Mytilus edulis: one gene and its partner. The protein of the gene in region 1 purifies or fractionates together with the protein of each later gene. This does not show direct contact. Links are inferred from orthologs where the notes say so. Each region holds a gene or a part of one and is shown in the gene's direction. Other genes may lie near its edges. The genes, in order: rapamycin-insensitive companion of mTOR-like and target of rapamycin complex subunit lst8-like.

Evidence for each region.
Region 2: the proteins of rapamycin-insensitive companion of mTOR-like (region 1) and target of rapamycin complex subunit lst8-like purify together in Homo sapiens (affinity purification with western blotting; 14 studies listed by BioGRID and IntAct, with this or other methods). This does not show direct contact. The link is inferred for Mytilus edulis from reciprocal best matches to the Homo sapiens genes RICTOR and MLST8.

The regions. Positions count from the first base shown.
Region 1 is NC_092344.1:106,558,829-106,566,067, forward strand, and holds the start of rapamycin-insensitive companion of mTOR-like, read left to right. Parts: upstream 1-4,099; 5' UTR 4,100-4,118; coding exon 4,119-4,176; intron 4,177-4,267; coding exon 4,268-4,315; intron 4,316-7,239. Other genes in the region: diisopropyl-fluorophosphatase-like, read right to left, coding at 3,743-3,925. UniProt on the Homo sapiens protein: Component of the mechanistic target of rapamycin complex 2 (mTORC2), which transduces signals from growth factors to pathways involved in proliferation, cytoskeletal organization, lipogenesis and anabolic output.
Region 2 is NC_092352.1:37,093,555-37,101,539, reverse strand, and holds the start of target of rapamycin complex subunit lst8-like, read left to right. Parts: upstream 1-4,917; 5' UTR 4,918-5,032; coding exon 5,033-5,155; intron 5,156-7,837; coding exon 7,838-7,889; intron 7,890-7,985. Other genes in the region: cytosolic Fe-S cluster assembly factor narfl-like, read right to left, coding at 1-8, 542-790, 1,172-1,306, 1,805-1,937, 3,091-3,339, 4,771-4,836.

The DNA.
Region 1 (7,239 bases):
AATCTTTCCCACTTGAACTTCTGACGTCATACAACAATCACTTTGGCGTCAGATATTTTGTATCATGATGTCAAAATTTTACTGGAACCTGTGTGATGTCCAGTAATGGCGGACAAATAGCGATCAGTGTATACTGCCTTCTCCTCATTCCGGTGTATCCCTGATTCCGGTGTAATGTTAAATTGCGGGTATTTGTTGAACTAAAAGCGCGTGCAAGGGTCAGGGGTTACAGGTTACAGACAACTGGTGCATCGCTGTCATCAAGAAATGTAAATACGTCAAACAGTCTTCATTACAGGTAAATATATATATATTAGCGCACGATAGTATGATTTCCATAATTCCCAAATTCATGCATATGCCATAAAATATCAAGCCATCTAAAAATATTGAATAATCATCCCAAATCGATTTATTGTTATTGATTTCTCGTCTGCCATTTGCAAGGCGTCCCAAACAACAGTCACGTGATGATACAGCCTCGATATGACTCTGAAAAATCTATGGAAAGCCTGATTAACAAAAATGAACACTTTTACAGTTTATTTTAGAAAAAAGTTATTAATCTCGTTTTTATGTTTATGAAACTATTTATGTTGATTGAATTTAATAAAAATTAATAAATATGAATATGAAGAACATATTACTGTGATTAAAGGACAAAATGCTTGCACAATAATTATTAAAAGAAATGTGCTTTATAATTAATTGAAGGTATAAAGGGGGGGGGGGGGGATGAAAATATTTTTTTCAAACTGAATTTAAGATTTTACTGATCTTTTGTAAATGTTTATGTCTATTCATTTTTATTACAGATATTTTTACAATGAAGAAAAAGCAGTATGATCCAAATGCGTTAAAATTTGCCTATGATGCTGTACAAAATGGAATGTCTGTTTACAAAGCTGCAAAAAACTATGGTATTCCAGAAAGCACGCTTAGAGATAGGACACTTGGTTTGGTTTCTGTGGATGGGAGATGCTCCAATTACCTTTTTGATGAGTCTACAGAGAAAAAAATGGTGGACCACATTGCACATATGGCCAGCATTGGTTATGGTTATTCAAGAATAGATGTCATTTATCTAGCAACTGATTTAGCTGTGTTTATGGGCAAGAGAAAACCTCAAGAGGATATATTGAGCAACAAATGGTATTACTCTTTTATGAAAAGATGGCCAAATCTAACTATTAGTAAACCACAGAAATTATCCATGCAGAGAGCTAGATGTGCATCAAAGGAGACACTATCTAACTATTACAAAGAGTTGGGCACTATTATGACCAAAAACAATCTGCATGAACAGCCACACAAAATATTTAATATGGATGAGAGTGCTCTACAAACTGAACATAGCCCAGGTAAAATTGTTCATGACATTGTTGTTAAGCCCCAGTCTGTCACATCGCCAAGATCTGCAAATGTCACTATAATTGGTGCTGGCAATGCAATTGGAAATGCTGTTCCACCTTATTATGTATTTCCGGGTGTTAAATTTGACAGGGCTCTACTTCTTGATGGGACTCCACCTGGTTCTGATGGCCAATGCAGTAAATCTGGATGGTCTAACAGTGAAATATTCAAAATGTACCTGGAAAAGCATTTTCTCAAGTATGTATCACATGATGTCTCTGGCACTCCTCTTCTTATATTGTTTGATGGCCACCGCTCACATGTGAGCTTAACTTTGCAAGATTGGGCTGAATCAAAGAACATCATTCTTTTCATACTTCCACCACACTGTAGCCACATTTTACAGCCATTAGATATAGGGTGTTTTGGACCATTAAAGGCTTGTTACAACCGGGAGGCACAGTTGTTTATGAGAAAAAATCCAGGATGTAAAATTACAAGGTATAACATAGGACAAATGTCTTGTTCTCCCTACCAGAAAGGTCTATCTGCACAGAACTTGATATCATCTTTTAGGAAAAGTGGGATATATCCTTTTAACCCAAAAGCTGTTGACACCAGCGAACTTGCTCCAGCTACAATTTACCCCACAGCTACATCAGATGAAGCAAGTACAATGAATAATACACAAATTTCACAAGAAGATGACAACACTTCCTCTCAGCAATTCAACAAAGCTGCCACTCTGACGATACAACAATTTGAAGCTTCATCATCAGCCCAAAAGGAACAAGATATCTCATCAGATCAAGATGAATCAAATAGTCAACCGTTGCTTACTCTAGTTCCTCCTGAAAGCAGGTACTCTGATGACATTCAAATATATACCGCAGAACCAATAATTGAATTGAACACATCAAACAACTCTTCGAATATAACCACATGTACAGTAAACAGTTCTCCATCCGGATTCCTGCTAAAAAGAAATGTTGTTTCAGTTGAAAAGACAGAAAAGAAAAGGAAACACTTCACAATCACAGGAAATTTAGGAAAAAAGAAAAATATGGATCATCTGAATCAGTCAAAAAAGAAAGGAACTTTTAAACCACCCTATAAAAAAGCAGAGCCTAAGACAGTTGAAAAGGAAACTAGAAATCAAAACAAAGCAGGAAAAGATACCAAAAAGAAGGCACCTGTAAAAAGAAAAAGTTCAACTGTGATGGAAAAAATTGAAAAAAAAATTAGATTATCAGAGGATGATGTTAATGCAGGTCTTGGTACATCTGGTTTAAACAAGGATAAAGGAGGACCAATATGTCTTGAGAATTCATTTAGTGACAGTGATGAAACCGATGATGACGACGGTGAAACTTGCTGTGTTTGTAATAAGAAATCTCCCTCAGAGATCAGACAACTAGCAGGAATTGTGTTTGTCAAATGGGCACAATGTGACAATGATAACTGCCGTCACTGGACACATCTCCAATTCTGTAGTGATGTTAGAGTCTTGCGGAGAGGGGATACTTTCTTTTGTCCACACTGTAAAGAACAGTAAACTGTCCAATATACAGAACACTATTCCAAAAACTGTTATTCTGATTTAAAAAAAAACAACAAACAATAGATTTAAAAGAACTGTTTAATATTAATGTAATTTTTCTATTTATTCAGTTAAAGTAGATTTTCAAAAAGTGAAACTTTGTGAAATATTTTTTTCCCACTATTGACATCAAAATAGAATTATTAAAATAATTTCCACAAAAGAGTGAAAGTAAAACAAAAATTTGAATGAGAATTTTTTTTTTTTATATAAATTTAGAAAAAAAATCTTGCATATATTGGACTTTTCAACATTTTTCATCTTGTCAAAAATAATTTGTGTATTTGTCCTAAATAAAATCGTGTTTTGCTGATCTGTACTTCTTACTAGAATATTAGCGTTATTTGATGCACAAAATAAGGTGCATTAGTGTTCCAAGTTGTCCTCCATACTATATTTTACCTTTGCACCGGAAAGAGGTTAATAGCAAAAACAATGATGGGTGGTGATCACCGATTTTCAATCATTTATTAAACTGATAAAACTTGACAAATGGGTAACATATTATGCATCATTGAAGAGCTAAATAACTGAATTTTATTTATTTCAATCATATTTGTTCCGTTTAGTTCGAAAAATGCGTTTGGAATAATGATTAACATTTTGACCACCGGAATGGGGTTAACCCAGTATATAGGGTGTCGGAGCTAAGGGGTGACAGACCAATTGGGCGTCAGACTAGTAGAGTTACCATGTTGGCGTATCAGGTCGACCCAAAAAAAATCATCACACCTTATATCTGGGGGGTTTTCAGGTACATGTTTAAATGAAAACGCTTCAAAAACATACTTTACAAGTTGAAAGATCAACTTTTAAAATCTGTCCTGCAAATGCACCATCTTTTTCAACCTCAGGAGCAACCATGTAAAAGTTTCCATCCTTATCAAACACTGGACCTTCCGACCCTAATAATTTGTCAGCAATCTTTGTAAATTCGTGTTGTGAAATTTTAGGGGCACCTGTGTCGGCCATGGTCAAAGTAGCTTTTGCTTGTCGTAAATTAGACAAGATGTAAACAAAGTAGTTTTGATTTACTTCAATAAATAAATTATTTTCAAATTGGTATTAAAATCTGAAGAGAACAAAGATTATTTTACAATTTAGTTGCCTTGTATCTTGCTATCGAATAATTTTACGACTAGCCGTAAAAATAGGAAGTAAAAATATGGCGGCCGTTGGGGCTCGCCAGGGCATACGGTCACACAAAACAGGGCGTTTTAAATGTATGTAAATCTTTCATGAAATCCTATTTACATTACATATCTCAATTATATCCTTAACTTTGTAACTATGTACTTTTTTCTTTCATTTCAGCTCGAAATGACAGTGGCGATGAAGTTTTTCGATTGGACTTTACCAAAGGTTTGTTATTTATGAAATGTCAACTTTATAATTACAACAAAAACAACTTGCTATGGGGAAACAAATATTCTCACAGTTGAAAAACATTGCACAACTACTGTCATTTTATAAGATTTGATTTACTGTGAATTTGAATTGTGCAGATCTGCCTGTCAGACCTGTCTACAGACAGGACATAACAGGCCTATTACAGTATCCATCATCTAAATGTACCATTTGGTGCATATTTCCCCTGGAAAAATTGACATATGAAGCAAATATCTTTACACCACATGTCATATGCCGAGTTTCCCCAAAATGACCTCAGGTAAACTTTGGCAGTGCATTCATAAATGAAAATTTCGGAAGCTTGTGTAGAGTTTGTGTATACACCTTATCGCTAATAGGGCTCTTCACGGTTAGTTCAACCATATTTGATAGGGGGCAGATTTTCATAATGGAGGTAAAAATGGTGTGAAAAATACAAGAAAACATCATATAAACAGAGCAGTTGCTTGAGGGGGGATAGGACCTTTATCGGGACTACGGAATCAGGTCTTTTAAGCTTGGGATTTCAGGATTGACCCTTATGTGAACCGGGAATTCTTTTTTGTGGATTTTTGGGACGTCAGGATTTAAAGTCTGGGATTTCAGGATCAGGACCTCTCCTATCCCCACATGCACTCTTGCTTGGAAACACACATAGGATTTCCCATACTTTCATACTATTTTCACATCTTTCTAAAAAAATCTGCCCCCTATCCAATATGGCCGAACTAACCTTGAAGAGCCCTATCCCGGCTGACCCGAGAATCTGTCCCGCTTGAACTATTGTCACTAGATATATGTTAAATATTGAAGTAAACAAATTCAGAAAATAAAATCATTTTAGTCATTTTGTCAATTTGATGTACAGTTCAGAATATATTTCAATTGGTTGGTTTTCTTTTTTATGCATACTGTGGATTCATTTATTTTCATTGGTATCAATTTTGGTGGATTGCTGAAAACTTTCATTTTCGTGGATATATAATTTCATGGTTTTGCCAATCTCTGTATATAAAGCCTATTGAAAATATGTTATTCGCTGAACATATGAATTTGTGGTTCATCTGTACCCACGAAACCCACGAAAATTGGTATCCAACGAATAAAAATGAATCCACAGTATCCAAGGGAGTTTCCCTAGGTAATTTGCGTCAACCAATTTGTTTGTATTAAGGGACTTTGATGTTAGTTTGAATGAAAATCAGAAATATAAATTAAAATGCTTGTTGAACACATTTATCTGATTAAAAATTGAATAAACTGGCCTTTCTACCTGCCACTAGTGAAAGCTGTGATGAATGCAAATCTTTCTTTAATTAATTGGTTTTCAAGTGCTTAGATATATGAGAACCCCCCCCAATTATTTTGTTTTTGTTTTAAATTGAAATTTTAATTATTCGAAGTAAATAGTATGACCCCCCTAAAAATAAGAAAAATCCCCCCCCCCCCCCCCCCATTTTTTTTAAATTTAAAATTTCAAAATATATATATCAATTCACCAAACAAATTTGACAAGACAGATTTTTTGCAGTGGTCTAAAACATTACAGAGAAAATGATTTCGGTATTTGTTTGATGATTGATGAAACAGACTATACTTAATAGACATTGAATTATTCCTCTTAGTACAAGAAAATGTTAAAGAAAAACTCTGGTTGTTCCCCTTGTATTCATTTGTTGTTTAATATAAACAAAAAAAATGAAATACTATTTTCTCAGGCGTGCAAGAACATACAATCAAATGTTTGGTTTTATATTGCTCTAATTGTAGATGACTGTTTAAAAAACCAAATTTCATTGGGTTATTTTGATATTTACAAAATTAAGTTGAAAGGCTACAAACTGACTTTCACCATCATGTCAGACCATACAGATAACAGCTATGATTTCTACTGTGACTCACAGGATCTGTTTTATTCTGCAAGAAAGTCTTTAAATATATACATGATATAAGATCATAAACATCGACGAACTGTTCTTTTGAATAATTTTTTCTATCAAATAGATTAAATATTTCTGGATATTATCAATAATTGGAAAATATATATATATACAGGTACACATGTTTATCATGTAAAAAAATATGTTTCCTTATTACATACATGTACCAGGTTGACAATACAATTTGAACTATTGACACTAGAAAACATCACTTACTAGATATCTAAACTCAAATAGATAACACATTTATTTTTACTGTTTAACAATGTTTAATGCAACTTACAGCATTATTGGCAAGTTATTACTGTCGGTTTAAGCCAATTGAGATGAAGCTAGCAATCCTGGTGAAGAAAGATTGGAGTTGAAGTCACAACCTCAGTGTTGAAATGCTATTGATACAGAAGATGAACTACTTATAAAAAAGAAGATGTGGTATGATTGCCAATGTGACTACTCTCCACAAGAGACCAAAAGACACCAAAATTAACAACTATAGGTCACCTTACAGCCTTCAACAATGAGCAAAGCCCATACTGCATAGTCAGCTATAAAGGCCCTGAAATGACAATGTAAAACAATTCTAACGAGAAAACTAACAGCCTTATTTATGTACAAAAAATAAACAAAAAACAAATATGTAACACATAAACAAACGACAACCACTGAATTACAGGCTCTAGACTTAGGACAGGCACATACATTCAGAATGTGGCGGGGTTAAACATGTAAGACCACATGGCCTCCAAGGCTATTAGCAGATAATTGATCATTCAGATTAAGTCTGTAAATTAAAACACTGAACGATTGTATACTTCCAAGGAAAAATTTATTCTGTTTTCAAATTTACCCTAGCTATGATTCTGCATCTAATATACCCAAGAATTACAAATGTACAAATGTAGTGTTTTTTTGTACATATATATAGGTAGACTGAGGCCATTACTAATCAACAGTCTT
Region 2 (7,985 bases), on another chromosome or scaffold:
AACTTCAACTAAAATGCAGCAACAATATATATTTTAATACTATGTATATGTAAAAGTCATTACATCTTTCTTAGAAAACATAACTAGAGTGCATGATTGAAGTTATATCCTTGTGGTACTAAGAATGCATTGTGATGTCACAATTTCCATTGAAAAATCATGCATGATAGAAATTCAGGTAAAGTACAAAAACACATCATGTAGTTTCTTTTTAAAAAAATTCCGGTAAAGTTTTACACATCTTTCTGTTCAGTTTAAAATAAAAAAGAAGATTTTTATATATGTTTTCGTACTTCATCTGAATTTCAATCATGATTCTTCTTGTCTCAAATTTATATGTACCTGCAGAAATGTATAACTCTCAACCAGATAAAAAATGACACAGAGGTTAACAATAATATATCACTGTACCGCCTGCAATGCCTACATTTAAGTTTTACTAGTCATACCCATTGGTTGAGTCTATAAAGGTGATATTTAAAGAATATTATACTTGTACATAAAATGGGAAAGGTAAATACTACTAAGTAGCGAACATTACCTGAGGTTATGACACAATCTACATCTCTTGTACTATAGATGTCATTGTAGAAATCTGATCTTGATGCTTCTAGTTTCTTATCAAAGCATGGCATGACTGTCACATGATAGATCAGGTTGGCTGGTACCCCTCTACTGGTTGCCATGTAATCCTTGACTAGAGAACCCATTATCTGCTGAGGAGATTTAGTTGTACTAATGTAGGGTAGGATGTAATGTCCATGTGTTTTCTCTGCATAGCAAATCCAACCTGAAGTTTTCACAAAAATATATTTATAATTTCATATAAATTGTACATGAAAATGTACTATTAAAATTTACATGTTGTTTAAAGAACATGTCATTCTTCCCATCCTTATGGATAATCTGATTATTAACAATGGACAGCAGTATTCGTCTGTTAGTATTGTCAATGATTGTAGTTGGTATCATTGATAAGACATTCTAAATGGAATGTTATATTTAATTTTCAATATATTTTTTAATGATATGAAAGTATAATATACTATTTTTTCATGATGACATAATGTGTACACCGGTGAGCCAAATGATACCACTGGTGAATCTTACTATTAATCGATGATAATATACATTGTGTCTTATTTTGAATTTTAACTTAGATGATATAAACCTGGACAAGCTGATGACAACATTGGTAAAGCTGTTTTGTTTGTTTCTGATTCCTTATATCTTTGTACAAATTCTCTGCAACTCTCTAACAAACTGAAGTTCCTGGAAAATGTGGTATCAAAAACATAATGTACACCTGAAAATATAAATTAACAAAACATTGAAAATTAACACATTTGCAGCATACACAATGTTGTACACAAAACCATATTTTTTTCTTTGTTGAACAAGTTGATAATTTCTGTGTACATGTGCTGGAATAAACAGACTACTCTGAATGCATGTTTTCAATTTTATTAAACTTTCCTAGCAGATAATCATTCATTGCCTAAATATTGTTCAACTAAGTGTACAGTTGCAAAACCCACCTGTTGTAAAGAGAATTGTTTTATTTCAAATGACCCCTAAATAAAATTTGGACACTTGTATGGTATTTATTTTAGCAAAACCCATTAAAACTTGCATCATGTTATTGGGTACTAAATTCAAATTTGTTTTGGGAATTTTAATCATATTATTATATTCCTAAAATTTCATTACCAAACAAGGGTTTGGAGCTGTCCTTTGTTAAATTTGCTTGTCTCAATTCATTTTTTCTTGTGAAGAAAAAGATTTATAATTTATAGATAATTACCTATTTTCTTGAAGAATCCTGTCAGTTTGGCAGCAGTTTCTTGTACAGATAGTTTATACTTGGCAGCTAATGAGGCTCTACACTGGGGAGCTATTGACACAACTACTAACTTCTGCTGCTCAGCTTGTCCAGTCTAAAATAAAGATGTCATACAAATATCATATAATCACCAACGTGTAAAAGCAAAAACTAGTGATGTTTTTGGATAGAGATAAATGTCTGCACAAATCAGAAATCAGTCCCATAGCTACATGTAGTCATGTAGATCACACTGTACACTTAATCATAAAATTTGGTTTTAGTACACAGTGGTGGATTTTTTATTTGTTTCATTAAAACATATGATTTTTTTTAGCAGTGATTCTTATAAAAAAAGAATTACAACTATTTGCCATCTTAAGGTAAGAAAAGATTTGTCTTTGAAAGAATGGAGTTTCTTTAATATGCAAATGATGTAAAAATGGCATTTTTACTGCTAAATATATCAAATCTTTCTTGAAATATTGCATGCAATGTGTCTTGCTAATAATTTTTTAGCCTCTTTTTTTTACACTTCTTCAATATCAAAAATATACAAATGTTTTAAAGGGAGATAATCTTAAAAATAATAATACATTTGAAATGCAATATATCATCATAATACCTACCGCGGTATATATTAATTCAAATATTGCAATGTGTATTAAATCATTTTAAGCACATTACACTTTTATTATTTTTTCAAAATACAAGTATTTCAAAAGAAGATAACCTAACTTTTGATTCTCATATGAAAGACTGGAGTTATACATGTATCCCATTGTTTGTGTTATACAGTGTTTTAACAGTTTAAACAATCATTCCATAAACTATCACACAATTGACCGTTAACTTATAGTATCTGAGAAACTGACCTTATCATGAACTCTTAATGTTGATCACTTACATATAGCTGTAGACAGGTGAGCCTTTAATCAGCATGTGTGTTTTGAAATAAATCTGCATACAATATATCATGACCTAGATTACTTGTATTAACTGGAAATTAGACTAAAAAACGATAGATTTTTGTGCTGTCATTAATCCATTGAAACAAGGTCAAGGACTAGACAAATTTGAATATGTAAAAAATGTATATAATGATCAGTAGTCCTTGACCTAATGTTCAGGTAACAAAGCATCTGTATTCAAAATACCAATCATACAGATCATTTACCTTCTAAAATATTCATCTTTATACTAAAACAAGCTAGATTAGCAGTATTAACTTCTTTAAATATTAGCTTCAGGCAAAATAATATGTTTACCTCCTGCAATCTCAAATTTTCTTTGAGTACTTTATAAAGTTCCTCTTGACTTTGTTGAGTTATAAGTACACTCTCTGCTGATGTTATACACCCACTACAAGCCAAACAGTCATTCAATGTGATCTTTGCCTTCTCTAGTCTGGTCTCTTGTCCTTCATCATTAACAGACAGATAAGAACCATCATCTTCAATTCTTATTTTACCAACTTTACCAGGTTTTCTGTCAATTTTAACTGGTTTGATACATTCCTTGAATAAATGAGGTAAAAACATAAATTTAAATTAAAAATAAATGAACGCAACTGTTTAATTGATATACATGTACCAGTAATTTGAAATTGATTTTTTTTCATCACATCACATATTTATCAATTATGGACTTTTGAAAAGGTCAATACATTATATATCATGTATATATGTACCTGTTCAGATTATATTGACCTAGGACGAAGTCTAATAGAAAATATTAGAGCATAAATATAAAGCTAGAATGGCAAAAATCCTGTACTTATTTAACTTGATATAGGAAGACAGTGGTATGAGTGCCAATGAGACAACTCTCCATCCAAATAACAATTTATAAAAGTAAACCATTATAGGTCAACGTACGACCTTCAACAGGGAGCCTTGGCTCACACCAAACAACAAGCTACAAAGGGCCCCAAAATTACTAGTGTAAAACCATTTAAACAGGAAAACCAACAGTCTGAGTCTAATCTATATAAAAAACTTGTTTACATCTATGCTAACTTTAATAGGGATGCAATTCACAACACTTATGAAAAGGGTTAACTGCTGTTGAACAAAGGTCTGCCAATTCACTCCACTAATGAACGATCATAAATCATCAATGACTTTTGACCAGCAAGACCGAAATATAAATGACCTTTATCATTTTATAAATTTATATTATCATGATTTTACCCTTTTTCAAAAAATAAGGCGAGAGGGCAGGTATTATGTTGTGCAACATTTGTATGGGGACAAAGTCCCCTTTTACGGTAGAAGAATAAAAAAAAATAAAAATTGGGAAAATTTCTAAAATATTTCATTCTACTAATGAACTCGAAATCGTTAACCTTTTTTTCAGACTTTTTTTTAATCCCCGCATCTGCACAGAAATCTACTTCCTTTTGCAGTCTTGTTTGCATGAGACTTTGAATAAAATATATATTTATCAGTCTAGTAAAATATATAGAAAGGAACTCAATACTAATTCATTTTAAAAAATTGTTTGTTTATATGAAAAAACGTTACATGATGACAGCGTTTCTTTGTTAACATGGAATATGACGTTATAACTTAAATAACGTCACAAATAAAATCGCTAATAACAGAAACCAAAATTGGAAACGTCACGGTATTTCTGTTTCTCTTTTTTTTTTTTACATGTTTGAATTAAAAAAATAATGCATGTATACTTCACAGGTAATGCCTGCCTCATATTAAGGGGGGGGGGGTAACCATAGTAGAGCGATTTGATAGAAAAGTGGGGCGAGTTGGTGAACAAGAATGGGGCGCTTTTGCAGTGGGGCGAGATGTCTTGTTTCACCAAAAGTCATTCGTACTAAATTTTGACCCCTCAAAGAAACATAGAATTAAAAAGTCTTTAGCATCAAGGAAAATAACATGTCTACATAACAAACGAACTGTTTATACTACAAAATTATTATGTTTAACCTGTGAAGGTGTGATAAAATCGTTCAAATCTGTTAGCTGTAGGGCTCCACTGAAGTTGGAAGCCATGTTTTTAGTTAAATTAGATGACCAATAAGAGTCGTCGAGACAATCCAGACCGCTAATCAAAATATTTCTAACAAGTGCGTTTGACAGTATTTATTTACTTCCGGTTAAACTTTATTTTGCAAGGCAGCTTGAGACAACATTTTAAAAGATGATTTCTTGAATAATAGATGTTGTCATCTTTTATTTTTGGTTTAAAATGAACGGATCAAACACAAATAATGATCCAATTATACTGGCAACTGCAGGATATGATCACACGGTCAGATTTTGGCAGGCTTACAGTGGAATTTGTCTGAGAACTGTGCAACATCCAGACTCTGTATCCATCTACAAAATCTGTTATAATTTATTTACCAGTTACCCCATCTGATCAAGTATTTAGATGACCTCTGAAGATTTCCAATGGTCATATAACCAAATATAAACATAAATATGGACACTTACACAAGTTATAACAACCTAATGCAGAGTAATTGTATGAATAGTAAAAATGATAATACATGTAGTGCCATTTTTTACTGCAGCAGATTCTTAATTTGAAAATTTATGTCTAATGTGATGTTCATGGCACATGATCAGATGAAATACATCATTTTCAAAATGTGTAATGAAAGAATATTATACTTATCATGTGTATTCAGAGCTTCAGATAAGCTGCGTATTTGCGTGATCACGCAATACAAATAATAAAAAACCCAATGCAATTGTCCATTGCAGGGTTCAATAACCCAATTAATTCAAAGGAAAACCCAATTATATTCCAAAACCATGAGTTCTCAACCCTTTTATTGGCTACCATTTGCGTTATTTACCCTTATCTGTTGCGTAAACTATTTTTATAATATTTATAATTGGAAATTTCCTTTCGTTCTAAAAATAGATCCCTGCATCAAGTAGCTGAAATGGGTCCCTGTTAGAGTTTTCCGTTGCTCAATAGGTACACGTGTTTTTGAAAACATTTCGATCTTCTCGGCGTTTATCCAATAAGCGTGTGTCATGAAGTCATATTTTTTTCGCATTGCTCGGGATTTATCATAACATACATTGAATTAAAACAAAAGTGAATGTCCGGTAAAAATATTGAATAGAAGCATATTTTCTGCTTCTTTTGAAAAGCTTAGGGAAAGTTATGATGATAACAAGACTCAGCCAGTGTTTTTAGGAAGCGTCCATCGAACACACGGGCGTGTGTGCGTACCTTAACGAGAACATTTCTAATAAAAGCAGGGTTTCCTCAAAAACGAAATCAGTTGGAAAGATGAAAGGCCAAATCAATTTAATATAACATGATAAAGCATCAGAAACCAAAAGTTCTAATAAAAGACAACTAAACCCAGATTTATGAAAATTGGAATAAAACAAAAACATTCAAGTATAATTAGAGTTTATATACTATTTTTTTTTCATTTTACGGTTAATTTATAATGAATATATACACACACAGGCACTGGTCTCAGAATTTATTACATAAAGGTACAAGACGAGTGCCTGTGAATACACATATCCGTTTTTTTTACAGTTTATATGAGAAAATACAAAACTGGCAGAAGGTTTGGAATGGAACACAAATTAAACCTACAATTGCTTCTCAGTCAATAAACCAAATAAAACAGCTAGCAAATAACCCTATAAACCCTAAACCAAATAAAACAGCTAAACAAAGAAAGAAACATATTTAAGATGGAAAAAAATCTGGGGTTGATATTGCCTAAATATTCAATATTGTGTTGATGAAAAAACCCAATACATTAAGAAGCTTGGTGTTGAAAAACCCAATTTGATATTAAAATGAGGGGTGAATTGGAATTGATAATGCAATTAAAAAACTTTATCACCCAATTATATAAGAAAATGGTGGGTAAAAAACCCAATTTGTGAATTCTTATCTGGAGCTCTGTGTATTACTAATTTTTATTTGATCTGTAAAATTAGTATAACTTTATCATTGTTATTACAGGGTGTTTTACGTTACTGATTAATAAATATCATGAACCCTAGCAAAGCGACTTTAGTTTTCCTTGAGGCCTAAAAGTCAGCTATTACATTAGCATGAACTGTTTGCATTAAAATATTGATGATAACATTATGAAAACTAAATTTTGAGGATAATTTTTTATGCAATAACATCTTATTCTGTTGTTTACAAATAATTTTCATTCATTGTCATGAGGATTCAGTGGAGGGTTAGAAGATAATTTGAAAACAGAAAACAGACCATAATTAGGTTGGCCTACATGTATGTATATAGAAAAAGTCCTTGATTTTAAATTAGAATTTAGATAGATTTGGAATTTAGAATTTGACAACCTGATAATGTCATCAAATTGAACATCTATTTAATGAACCAACATCCATTAGAGACTAGATGTTGAATCATAGTCTAAACAAATAGACTATAGGTAGTCAAAATGGTCAATCACCTCTGCGCTATGTTCCAGTTGTGTTATAGAGGTCACACCTCAACCTTCCCTTTTCATGTTAATAAGGGTGGCAAGATATATTAAATAGAATAGAATATTTTTATTTCCTAAATTACATGGCCCATAAAGTGCATAAAATCAGTATACATAAAATCAGGTACAATTGATTGACATAATTGGTAACCATGGTAACAACAACAATAATAGTCACAGAGTACATGAACAACATTCATGACATTCAAATTGTGCATTAACTTGTAGATTTTCTATGTCACAATGCATATGTAATACTTCACAGTAGAAGTCGCTTATTCAATAAAATTATTTCCACAGCTTGCCTGAACAATCTGTCAAAACCATGTACAATTATGATTTTTTTATGTTAAATTTTTTGTATTCTTATAAACAAAGATTTACACCATACAATGTCAAAGTTGAATAAAATGGTTTTTTATGTGATTTTAGCTGAAAAAAAACATCCTCTAGTTTTCGAAGCGATAGATAAATTATCATATATCATGTGCCATATATATTCAGCACAATTCTGAGCTGCCTGTGTTTTTCCTTAATTTGTTTTCTAGCAAGTAAATGCATTGGAAATCACTCCAGACAAGCAATTGATTGCTGCAGCTGGTGAGTTTGTAAAATTTATACAAAGCATACTCATTTACAAGACTTAAAAACCAGTTGTAAGCAAGTTTCAAATAGTAAAATTCCCTCATCCAGAAA